Linked DNA regions of Rattus norvegicus. The protein of the gene in region 1 interacts with the protein of each later gene in a biochemical or structural test. Links are inferred from orthologs where the notes say so. Each region holds a gene or a part of one and is shown on either strand. Other genes may lie near its edges.

Region 1 (6,675 bases):
TGTATGCGTGTGGATGTGTGTGCTCTGCACACGTGTAGAGTTCAGAGGACAACTTTATGGAGTGTGTTCCAACGGTGAGATTCAGGTACACAGGTTTGTGTGCTAAGTGCTTTAAGCCCTGAGCCATCTTACTGGCTCAGTACTGCTCTTCTATTTAATAGAAATAATAAATACAAAATGATCTTTGCACAATTAGCAATTCTACATGAGGTATGTTTAATTTAACACAAGCATATTATCAAGAAGAGTCCAGGATTTTACTTATTATGTTGGGTGGGGGAGGTCAGCTTTGGTACACCATTTAATGTATAGCTGTTGGAGTTTTAGCAATGATATTTGGCAAGCAGAACAAGATTTAGCTTACTGGGCGATCTTGGAGATCTAAAACTTCTTTTAAAAGTGAGAAAAATGTTTTACAAAGTAACGTTAGAGTAGGTTCAAATATTTGTCCCCAAGTCTGTTGCTGTGGTCCTCTGTGGGAGCTTCACTCTCCTACATGCAATTTATTACTTAGTTTAACTTTATATTAATTGCGACAGGCTATCTGAACCAGAGAAGAAACTGCCAATCAGAAGAGAAGAAAATGTTTGCCTATTGGTAAGTGAAGCTTGAAATGTCTTCAGTATATGTGCGTGCGTGCGTGCGTGTGTGTGTGTGCAGGGGCCTGAACCCATTGCCTTACACATACTAGCCAAGTATGCTTTATCTCTTTGCCTCATCCCTATCTTAGTTTTACAAAATTGGGTCTGGTTTTGGAACTTCATTGTCCTTGAACTTGCTAAAAAGTCCTAGATGACCTCCAACTTCCCACTTCCCGTCTCAGCCTCCCAGTTGATTACAGCCTTGTACCACTGTGGCTAACTGGACGCATTTGTTGAATCTGCTATAATCTACCACAAAGATGACTTTTAACAAAACTGACATTGGGTTTTCAAAACAAAACCAACAACAACCAGGCCCAATAAAATGAGATACATTTAGAATGTCTTTGTATAATATTAAAAAAAATTTGAAGAGCTAAGTTACAATCATTCTGGTCATTTAATTTGTAATCATTTGCTTTGTGTCAATCCGGGATATATGCTGTCCAAAAGATAATGGTGCCTGGGACAAGTGCTGCCTTTACTAGTTTGCTTTAAGCAGATTTTGAACAGTGGGAAATGCACGTGCTATGCTGTTACATGAGATTTACACATTAGATGAAAACAGATTGCAGAGGTGAATCTCTAGGAGAAGAGAGAGTATTTTAATATGTACTATCAGCATTAAGCAAAAATACTTCTAGCATGCGCTCAGGACTGAGCTAGGGTATAGCTTTATGAAGAATTAATTTGAAAAATTGCCTTTACTTTAAAGATTGGGAACATACTCCAGACCCTGCTCATTTGAAAAATCGGAAAAATAGCTATAGAGCTATTATATAACAGTAAAGAACACAGTGGGGTCCCTTGGATAATTTTTGGTTTCGGTGTACATCAATAACTGCTTCCGAAGGCTACCGAAATTCCTAAGAATATGAAAACGTGTGTATGAGAGTAGACAGCTTCATCCACAAAATTGTCTTAGTCAGTAAGTATTTTAACACAGGCATAGCACTTCAGAGTTTAGGGTGAACCAAAGATGTACTTTAGAGTGGTTTTTTTGTTTTTTTTGTTTTTGTTTTTGTTTTTTTTTATGTCAAGCGAAAACAACTTCTGCAAATGATTCTTTTCATGGCAAGATGCTAGAGTCAAAAACAAACGTGACATCTGGGGTAGGGGGAGCGTTAAAAGGAGGCTTCACAAGTAACATATGAAGGGAGTAGAGAGAATAGGATTTTAAAGCAGAAAACACAAGGAGAGGAAGAGATCACGGTTTCGTCTTTTTCTCTCCTCCCTCCACTTTCTAGCCTCACCAATCTGTTAGCCCCCCTCAAATTCAGAGGCGGGTTCAGCAAGACCAGGCTGCAGGAAACCCAGGTTTCGCTGCACTGCCACCCTGGCTCCGTGATGTAATTGTTATTTATTGAGACTCTGAACCCAGCAGAGCTGCTTAAAGAAGTGCCAGCCCATCTTCTAGTCCTGTTGGGTCAGATCCTTCCTGGGGGTGGTGCAGATTGGCGGGCAGACCCTACTGGAGACTTCGCAGTGACAAAGCAGCAGAAGATAAACCAGGTTCCTGGGTCCTGCGTCCGTCTAGGGAGCTGAGCTGTGCACTCCTCAGGTCTCCTTCCCAGTTTTCCGCTTGCAATCATGCCATATTTATTACTGGGTCCTACTAGGTGCTGAGGATGGGGTCAAAATGACCTAGAGTTATAGCGCCGTGGCTTCCGGAATTTAAGCGGGACACAGATTTCAAGGAGGTGGAAAATTGAGGGTGGGTAAAGGGCTCCAAGAGAACGCGTATTTGTGGGTTGAAACGGGAGAAAGGGAGACATTTAAGGTGCCAGCCCTTAGGTGGGGAACCTGGGGTAGGGTTAAGGCGCCCCGACTCCCCTTTGGTGCCCCCAGCGTTTGCCCCCGCAAGGGTGACATGGGCTATCGCCTGGCCCCTAGCGGGGAATCTGTCCAGGCGGCTGGCTGGACGCGGCTGGGAAGCCAGGGCGCCGGCTCGGGGAGCAAAGCACCCCCCTTCTCCGGTTCAACCGCGTCCTCCCTCTGCCTTCAAGGCCGCTCAGACCCGGACCCCCACCCGGAGCACCGGCGAGAAGGCCTGCAGACGCCGGGTGGGCTCCCGGGCTCCGGCAAGCCGCCGGGTGCGCGCTCCGCCCGGGTGACAATGGGAGGGAGGGGCAGAAAAGGGTTAAGAAACTTGGCTGAAGAGCTGAATGGCGTGGAGCAGCGAGGGGAGGGACCCGGCCGCCGCGAAGTCGGCGGCGGAGGGAGGAGCGCGGCTGCGGCGGGCGGGCGGCGAGCGAGGCGCTCAAAGTCAGCCTCGCAGACATTGCAGCAGAGCCCCGAACTCGGGAGGCGACGGCGACCGCGGCGCAGGCGGAGGACGAGCCGGCCCCAGCCCGCCGGTGCGCAGCGCCCGTGGCCTCGCGCGGCCGCAGGGCACGGCTAACCTGGGAAGGAGGGAGCGACGCGGATCGGCGGCCCGGAGCCGCGGCGGCCTCGGTGAGTGGCGATCGCGGCCCGGGCTCCGTGCGGAGCTCGCTGAGCGGACGCCGAGCCGCCCGGGCACGGCCTGGGTGCGCGGCCCGTGGAGGCGGCGGAGGCCGGGGGAGGCCCGCGGGGGGCTCCAGGGACACGGATCCCGGGGACAGCGCGCCGCCGCGCCCCTCTCCGGCTCTCCCCGGGAACTCGCGGGCCCGGCCGGCGCAGCCGCCAAGTTGTGGAGTTCCCAGCCGCGGGCTCGTCCGTGCCAGCCTTGGCGCGAGGGGCGCAGCCGCCCTGGGTGTAATGCGCCGGGACCCACGCGGGTGGCCGGATCGCGGGGCCCGGGTCGAGCTCGCCCGCCCGCCCGGCTGCCCCCGTTGGCCCCGAGCCCCGGGCGCTGGCTGCAGCCCCGCTCGGTCCTGCCGCCCAGCGGTGCTCGCGGTGGCGCCCGCGCAGCTCCCCGCCTATCGCCGGTTTCTCCCTTGCGCGGTGCTCGCCGATTCCCGGCCGGGAAAAGTGACTCGGAGAAGGGACAGCGCTGAGCCCCAGGCCCGGCCTGCTGGGCACGAGCTCCCCGCCTGCCGAGGAGGGCGAGGCCCCTTGCACCCGAGGCCTCAGCCCAGTTCCCCCAGCATCCGAGAGGGGTTCACTCGGGTGAGCCTGGTGAAGTCCTGAGAGACTGCTCTTCTCTCTGGTGCCACTGTCCTCCTTACTACTATTGTTGCTAGAAGAAACCCTCTTCCGCGGAAACATTCCCCTAGACCCTCCCATCCTTCCCAAAGTAGTTTCCAAATTTTAATCAGGAGTTGATATTCAGACGGAAGGAACAAAGGAATCCACTGTGTTTAAAAGGCGGACAGGCAGTGAGTCTGACACATGTTGATCTCTGAGGCATTCCACGAGTTTCTACCTTCCATCATGTCAGAAATTTAATTGGATTCTGGCGGTCGCAAACGAAGTATGAAACGTTAGGTAATTTTACGTTAAAATACTTTACTTTTTTAAATTAATGGATCATTTTAGTTAGAGGGAAGTCCGGACATTGTTAGGTGCAAGAACTTTTAACTCTTTTTTTTTTGATGGCACCAGGCTGGAGTTTGTCTGCTCTTGTAACTGATTGTGACACTGAGCGAAAACAGTGTTTTTAGAGAAAGAGAGACAGTCTAAAAGTAAAACAAGATTGGAGTGTCTGTGTGTCTGTCTGTCTGTGTGTATGCTTAAACGATGTGTAGTCTATCTCTTGGGTTTTGTAAAGCAGGGACTTCGGTAATTCATTCTTTAGAGTTATGAATTACATTGAACCCGCTTATTAGTGAATCATGGGTTTAGCAAGTGGGCGGCATCTTCCAGATGCAATTATCCAGTGTTTAATCATCAGGTTGCCACCTTTGTCTAAGAGACGGAGTCGACTTTTTAAGCAAACGGTGGGTGCTTCACATGCATGGCCCCTAAGAGTGGCTGCAGCCTGGGAAAATGTTGAAATCTTCCCCTTCCAAGTGAGTTGCCCTGGTTTGGCCCAGCAGTTTGTCCATAGGGTTTAATTGATCCAACAGGAACTTTCTGTGTAGGACTTAGTAGAGACAAAGGAGAGTCAGTCATGCCGCAGGCAATACCTGCAAACTGGAGCCTCACCCCAGCCTGTTCTATACTGTACTGGGAAGACTCCACACTTAAAGTACAAGGAGCGAGAAGAAAATATCCTTAAAAAGTATACTTCAAAACTCTAAGGAGGGCTTCGGTTGCTGCTTATATACAGGTAGTTGAAAACCAGCTTTCATGCCTACGAGAAGACTTAGAAATCTGAGTTTCCAAACTTTGCAGAACTTGGATTTTTGTAATTGAGATACCTGAAAATAATTGTGGGTTAGCAATGGAGAAATGTTTGTGGATGAGGCCAGGGCTCCTCTGACTCCTCCAGTTTTAAGAGCAAAACGTTGTGATTAAAAAAATAACCTATACCACCACCTAGAGTCTGTTTGTTAGTTTATTGCTCTTGGAGTTTGCTTACATTGACGTGTCCCTCGTGGTTACTGTATAGTCAAAACAAGATTAAGGAATTCAGGCTTTTCAGAGGCCATCCAGGAGAACACTTATTTAAGTAATGCATAGCAAGTGCCAATTTAAATTATCCACGACACTTTCAGAACCGAAAATTATGACATATCAACTCAAGTGGGCCAGTCTCCGAAAGATACTAATTCAAAAGAAAAAAAATTTAAAGACAGCTTCTTTTAGCTTGTGCTCCAAGGTGGCCCTGAGTGCAAAAAGATTTCCTGTGATACGAGAGATTCAAGAAATGTGACAAAATAAGTGTTCTCGGTGCCTTTTGAGGTTTTTTTTTGGGGGGGGGAGGGCGACAAAAGCGATGACAAAAGTATAGAGAGAGGGATGTTGCCATTACCAACATTTTAAACACTGAGAAGGTTAGAGAGACGGTAGACCGTCTTGGAAGCTGGGATAAGGTGTTTGGGAATACAGTCAGTGAAACAGTGATAACCTGTCCTACTGGAGGTTTGTGAGTGGCAAAGCAGTCTGTTAAACAGGAGGCCTGAGGGCGGCAGCCTCTACCCTTCTGCTTATCACATTGTCCGAGGAGGAAGTAACGCTCCTCCTCTAACCGTCTAGCCTGAAAGATGGCCTCCAAGATCTTTAATTAAATATCAGTCGAACAGAGAGAACTAGAGCACTGCCTTAATTCTGTCAGACATCACTATTTTAGAACATTGAGGACAACTAAAAATGAATTAACTCATATCTGAAAGCAGAGTTTTGAGGAAGGTGACAGATGAGGCAAAATATGTCAGTCAGTCTAATGGAACACATAGGGAGATCAGGATAGATATGCCCTCCTTGGCTCTCTAGACAGTTGAGAGAAAAGGAGATTATTATTAATCACATGCGTTTCATCGCAAAGCAGCAGCAGCAGATCATGACACGGAGATCTTTTTGAATCAGTGTGGCTTAGGACCTAGGAGGTTAAAGGTGTTAGATTTTTCTTTTTTTTTCTTTTTCTTTTGGTAAGTCTGAAGATGGCAAGCCACTCCCGTCTTTCTAGACCAGCAATAACACTTTGATGTATGAAGTTAAAAGATCACTCAGCTAAAAATACGTTTAAGGCATTTAAATTTTAATCAGGAAAAAAAAATTGCTCATTTTAAACTGCGACGAGTCGAGTCCCTTTTCTCTTTTATGTTGTAAAATGTAGGCTTCCTGACACGGGTTTTTAAAGTGTGGGCTGGTCACTTGGGTTCTCTTTCCACCCCCACTCCCTCTCCCTTTCCCTCCCTCTCACCTCCCCTCCCTAAAATAATCAAGTACCATATCCTTCACCATTTTCCCCCATCCCGTGAAGACTGCTTTAACTTGTTGACTTTGTGTGTGTGGGAGGGTGAAGTTTATCCTGTACTTTTCCACCTTTCATTTCAGATGACTGATACCCCTCATCTATGGGCTCCACATTTTCCAATGATGCCTCACTCACGCAGGGATGATGACTGAGGAAAAAAGCATTTGCTGTCCTTAGCAAAACCCTGGGCGCCCTAGTCATCCAACCGGAGACAACATTTTTATTTAAAATATCTTGACTTCCGTTGAAGAG
Region 2 (6,430 bases), on another chromosome or scaffold:
GCTCCTTTTAAGTTAAAAGGTGAGGGGTCAGAGGAAGCGGGGCAGAGAAGCCTGCAGTGGGTCTTGTTAGAAAAAAAGAATAAAAGAGACCAATCTGTGGTCCAGAGGGTGAGGTGGCTGGACCCCTGCTGTTCCCCTCACTTCTGTTCCCATCCCTGTCATGGTCAGGAGACCTATCTCTCTACCCGACTTCTATCAGAAATCCCAGGGTCTCCAGGCACGAACTAGTTGCTTTGCGGGGGTTAGGAAGTCTCACTTTGTATCCCAGGCTGGCTTAGAACTCCTAGTCTTTCTTCCCTAGCCTTTCCAGCCAGTGCCAGGATTACAGCTTGTGCCATTCACTACACCTGGTTAGGAACGGGGCACTTAAACAGGGCATATCTACTTAAAGCAGTATATATGTGTCTGTCTGTCTGAGGCAGGGCCTCATGCCACTCAGGCTAGCCTTCGACTCTTCTATGCAGGTGAGACTGGCCTTGAAACTCCTGACTTAGCTCCCCAAGCACTTAGTGTAGTTTAGCATTTATACAGGTGGAAAGCTAAACCAGGTAGATATTATCATCTCTAGTTTACGGATAAGGCAAGAAGGAAATCAAAGTCTTCTCAAGGTTACACACTTATCGGGAGGCATTTAGGGTTCAAATCCAGGCAGTTGAGCTCCAAAGTGAACAACAAAATCCCGCTTTTAACCATGACAACATAAACCCCGCAGTGGGTCCTGCTAGAAGGATACCTTGTCCTTTCGTCTGGCCCCGTAGCCCCTGTGACAAACCTCCATTTGTCTTTCTGTTGAAGTCTAGGAGTACTCTACAACAACCATCACTAACGCATTCTTATCCAAGCAGGCCAAGGCTGCAGGGTGCGTAGTCAGGCATGTTAGTCCCCCCCACCATGCATTCTCCCCCACAGGCATTGGGGCGCCTGTACCAGTAGCCTCTGTTCAACTTCCCTCCCTGAAAGAGCCACCCTTTCTGTTCTCCTGTGTGGGCTACGGTCTTCCCCTCACCCAATTTGGCACAGTCTAAACAGCTGTACCCTCAGAACCAAGCATGAAGCTGTGCAAAGAAGACACAGCTGTCGGGACATCTCTGAGGTGGGTCTCAGAAGCTAGGGATGTGAAGAAAGGCCCCGAGTTCTAATTCAGACCCCGCCTGGGTCCAGTCAGGGGAGGAGCCTCCTCGCTGGCTCCTTAAAGAGCTGTGGCTTGAACCTAAGGTCCTCTCACTGAATTGACCAAGGTTGGCTGGATGGGCCTGCCAGCTTGAGGGGTCAACACATGCAGTAGCCTATTCCCCTTCCCTCCCCATTCCCAGCCCCCAAAATTTGCTGGCCAGCCACAGCTGTGGCGTTGAGGAAGCGCAGGATGTCCTGAACAGCCAGCTGAGCACGCCCCCCCCCCAACCTCCTACTGACCCCAGAGGAAGGCTGGGCGGGCCAGAGGGCCTGAATCTGAGTATTAACAACTGGAAAAGTATGAAGAATGTTGTTGCCAGCTTGGAGAAAAGAGGCCGTGGCAGAAACAGAGAGGAGCACAGGGCAAGACAGAACGTTACAAACTGGCGGAGGAACAGCAGGAGTCAGACACCCCAAGACAGCAACAGAGAGAGAGAGACGGAGTTAGAGAGAAATTCCAAGTCAAAAATACACCTCACTCACTCAGCCACTCGCCAGCTTACGGCCTCCTAAGGAAAGCTTCCAAGTTTGGACAGGAGGGCCAGAGGTGAGAAAAGGGGCGGATTCGCAGTGGGAGGCTAGCACTCAGCTGGGGACAACTAAGGGTCCCCAGGAAAGGCCCAGCCAAATGACCCCAAGCAGAGGCAGCTAGGTCCACACTGGCTTACAGGCTAGGGATGAGAGGGCCAGAGAGCCACTCCCAACTCTTCCCCAGACACCCCTCCCCCAGCAACCAGGACAAACCCAGCTGCTAGAAGTCACTGGACACTGCTGCAGGCCTATGACTCGGCCCTCTGGAACCCCCTTGCACCCACTTTGCTCTTGTTTCCCCTGTCCCTCTAAAGAGGGGGCGGAGGGGGGGAGCCCATTGCTACACAGTGCCAGAGCCTAAAAGATAGAAAGAAGCCAAAGAGAAAAGTCTGTGATTATGTGCATTTAAGCGCCTTCCCGCCCCCAGCTACAATGTGTCAACCTGCAGGGTTATCTGGACACTGCCAGGTGGGACCTGTGACTTCAGTCGGAGCCCTGTGCATGGCCCCTGCACCTGTGAGACTAGGTGTAAAAAAGTGCACCTGTGCCTAGAGTTCCCACAGTCAATCAATTAACAAGTGTTTACAGAGCACATACTGTGCTAGGCTCTGGGTGGGATCCAGGCTCTTCTAGAGATTCTCCCATGTCTTAAGGAGCCTGCCATCTAGTAACTGGTATGGCCAGTGACAGAAATGAAACTATTTTATCAGGAATGCATGCTTTGCACCATTTTTGCAGAAAAGTCTTTTAACACAGATGAAGGTGATTTCCTCCGTAGCAGGGATTTTATTGTCTACAGAACCTCAGCTCCACAGATGAATCCAGGAAAATACTTGTTGCTAAATTGTGTACAAATGTATTGATGTGTAGCCTCAGGTTTGTTTGTTTGTTTGTTTGCCTGAGTGACAGTGACTGTCATGGCAAGCAATGATGGCTGCTGCACGACTGGGCACATGTGCACATGTGTGTGCTTCTGAATGATAAAGTCTTTTATGGTCGTGGGGCTGTGTGCAAATTGCCATGTGTGCATGCATGCATGCATTCGATAGTGACTTTCTCGGTGTGGGTGACAGCGACTCCTCCTTACCCCGGTGTGTGACAGCAGCTCCCTGTGAACCTGTGCGTGGGTATGTGCATAGGCTGTCTCTCCGCTCTGCTCTTGGTCTCCCGTGGGTGTGTCCCACCCCAGGAGCTCCACTATGCAGTGGCGGCCTGCCTCTTCCCTTGTCCCCATGTGGGTGTGTCCAGCAGCTCCTGTCCTTGAATCTGCCTGGGTGTCCCCGAGTGTGCATGTGGCTGTCTGTGTAGGCATATCTGTGTCTGCATGTCACCTTTGCCTCCCCCTTCATCTTGGACAATGGCCCCCTTCATCCCCTCCCCCTCTTGGGTCCAGAGCCAGCATTCTGGGGCAGGCTCCCATCTCCCTGGCTTTCCTTCTGTGTGCTCCCCCTCCAGTCCCTAAAATGGGTGGCTCTCTCCATTGCCTCTGACATCTTCCCAGGCCTTCTTTTCACACTGGACAAGGGAGGGCCCAAGACAGAAAAGGGGCATCAGAGACACGTTGCAAAGGGAGGGAAACAGGGGAAACATGCACAGGCGCGCGTGCCCGCGTGTACACACACACACACACACACACACACACACACACACACACACACACACACACCACGGGTCCATTTCTTCCTCTCTTCCCCAACCACAGGCCAGCAATTCTAATCATCCAGGGACCATCAAGTACACCCCCACTACTACACGCTCACACTCCACCCCCCCCGACTCCACCCCACCCGCCGCGTTTTTGCAATTAGGAGTGTTGCAACCAGAAAGCCATGCTCAACTGGAGAGGTGGGGAGGGGAGGGGGGCTTCTCTCTCCCCCAGCCCATGCAAGCCCCCCCACCCTGCCGCACCCACATTGCCCTCCGTAGCTAGAGGCAGCTTTGCAAAGGCTATTCGGTCTCTTTGGCTGGGGGCTTGGTGGGGGTGGGGGGTACACGACAGGCTTCTGGCACACCGTAAACAAACCGCGGCGCGGCGCGGCGGGCGGGGGAGCTTCGGCAGGCAGCGGGGCCCATCCCGGGAATGCGCAGCAGACCGGCCGGACAGAGGCCGGGGCGGGCCCTCGAAGGGGAGGCCCAGACGCCATCTCCGCGGGCGAACCCCAGGGCCCACCGACCACTTAACAGCACCTTCCTTCCCCAGGGCGTAAGTGACTAGCTCTCGGGCTGTGACAGGGTCACCCGGGCGCCGGGAAAGGCTGAGGTCGGCGGCGGGAACCCCCTGGGCGCCCCCAGCCCGCCTCCGAGCTGGCCAGAGACCCGCGGCTTTGCATAATCAATCGCGATGCATTTGCATATTAATGCCCCCTCGCTCCCTCCTCCTTACCTCGGCTTGGCGCGCTGGACCGAGCTGAGCAAGGACGCGGGGGTCTCAGCGCCCCGTGCCGGGGGCGTCCATGGGGGGCCGGTGGGGCCCGGGCCGCCCGCCTCCAGCGCCGGGGTGTGAGTGCGAGTGAGCGCGGGGGGGCGGGGGGCGAGTGTGGCGGCCCCGCGGCTCCTCCGGCAGAGGCGGCGGCCGCTCTGGCTCCTCCCTCCCCCGCCCCGCTCCGGCTGGGGCTCCAGCTCCGCGCGTTCGGCCGGCTCGCGGCTGCTCCCTGCAGGCCGCCTAGAAGCCGCCGGTCCCCGCCCCTCGCCCCCCGCCGCTCCCGGGACCCTGGCCTACCGCCCCGCAGCACATCTACCTCCTTGGCCCCTACCAGGCTCAGACTCACCCACCTCATCCCCCCTGCGGCTCTGTCCAGGAGCGACGCTCGGTGAAACGTTTTGAGAAAGATGTCATTTTCAGATATAATAGCTTTCACTCGCGGGGAGAATTGGGGGGGTTTCTGGTTTGTTCCCTGGGGTAAGGGGAGAAGGATGGAGGAGATCTCTACACCTTATAAATCCGGGAGGAAGTCCAGATACCAAATGCTAAGGGTAGTTTGTTTCAGAGTTCGGGTCCCTTCTTTCGGAGCAACTCCCCTGTGTGACCTTGAACGAATTACAGCTTTCAGGGTAAGAGCTCAAAATCCAAGAGTTGCACAGATTACTTCTGAAATCCTCCTAACTTCAACCATCCTATTTTCCAGCCCTTTTGGAGGGTGGTTCCATATTGTGCCTCCTCTCTCGTCTTTTAACATTAATGCTGGATCCACTGCCTCCTCTTGCAAACGTCTCTGTTCTCCATAGAAGCTCTTCTATTCACTGCCCACCATCCTTTCCCCAACAATATACTCCTATGCCAAGCTTGGGGAATGGGGGCGGACAAGACTGGCTAGGACAAGACAGCCCCTTATCTCCCAGCTTCACTGAGGTGATATTTCCTCTCCCGTTTGTACCATCAAAAACCAAATGGTTCAAGAGCCAACCTAAGGAGCGGAGTGACTGCAGAAAGGTGGACTCGTTTTCTCAAAGGAGAGGTCTCCATGCCAGTTCCGGACCCTTGCGCGCGCACGCGCACGCACGTGCGAGACACACACACACACACACACACACACACACACACACACACACACACACCTGCATTCATGGACATAAAATCCTGCCAGTGACGCCAGAGCCCCTTTCATCTCGGGATCTACTACCGCCAGGCAGAGGTCTAATTACCCTAGCACCCCCCTCTGGCCCCGCCGGTTCCCCCGCTGTCATTAGCCCAGTTTTACCAGCGGGGGCCATAGCCTTCCCACGGCTCCCAGGGCGGAGCCCTGCCTCCACAGCCTGCTCTTGGGGAGGAGCCAGAGAGTGTGTCAGGGGAGCTGCTCTTCTAACCGTTCATACTGGATAGAATCGTTTGCTGAGTGGGATGCTGACCAACAGTCTATCCAAGTCGGGCTGTCCTTGCTCATCCTAGTCTCAGCCACCTACACCCTGAGCCAACGGAGTCACTTCTCGTACAAGAGGTTTTAAGGGTTTGCAAGGGATGAGGAGAAGGGAGAATGCCTCTCTCGTGGGGCTCCTGATACAAAAGGAGGGACGCTGGGTGAGGAAGAAATGAAGGGGAAGCCTACGGTTACTGGTGATGGGAAGGGGGGACGGAGGGACACACACAATGGTTGAAAGAAGCCTGCACTGTACAGTGGCAGCTGCAGTGGGGAATTGAGGCTGTAGTGTGCAGAGTCAGCAAACAGTAAATAAACCTGCTCAGTCCCGGCCCCCAGTGGGCATGCAACAGCTGTAGTTTAGAGCACTGTGTTCTCTGGTGCGCTGAGGCAACGCAGGATGGCTGTCTGCCAATCGAAGCCACCTGGACAATAATCAAATTTGGTTGAAACTCTGGGGAGCAAGGCGGTGTACAGGCTCAGGGTCCATGCTCACGGGGAAGTAGTCTCCTGGGATTGGGGTACCAGAGGAGCTAAGGGATAATCTCAAGTTGTGAGAAATACAATTATAGTTTGCCTGGATAGGCAGGACCCAGAAGTTGTGGTTCAGCAGTAATCTGGACTAGGACAAGGATTGAGAAAACCCAGGGCACTAAGGTGGTCTCTCTTCATGGTCTGCAGGGTTGGTTGTTTGCCTCGTTTTACTGGATATGCCTGCTGGTTTGCTTGTTTGTCTGTTTTAAAGACAGGGTCTTGCTACTAACTTACTACGGAGCCCTAACTGTCAGGCTGGAACTCGGTGATCCTCCTGCCTCTGCCTCCTGAGTGCCGAGTCCTGGCATTAAAGTCATGCGACACCAGGCTAGTTCGTT

The links. The genes of interacting proteins can lie anywhere in the genome.
Region 2: the proteins of Nrip1 (region 1) and Thra form a complex in vitro, tested with the Homo sapiens proteins (4 studies listed by BioGRID). The link is inferred for Rattus norvegicus from reciprocal best matches to the Homo sapiens genes NRIP1 and THRA.

What each region holds. Positions count from the first base shown.
Region 1 is NC_086029.1:28,462,655-28,469,329, reverse strand, and holds the start of Nrip1 (nuclear receptor-interacting protein 1), read left to right. Parts: upstream 1-2,917; 5' UTR 2,918-3,095; intron 3,096-6,675. UniProt on the Homo sapiens protein: Modulates transcriptional activation by steroid receptors such as NR3C1, NR3C2 and ESR1. Also modulates transcriptional repression by nuclear hormone receptors.
Region 2 is NC_086028.1:84,195,930-84,202,359, reverse strand, and holds the start of Thra (thyroid hormone receptor alpha), read right to left. Parts: upstream 4,220-6,430; 5' UTR 4,088-4,219; intron 3,908-4,087; exon of another isoform or gene 3,753-3,907; intron 1-3,752.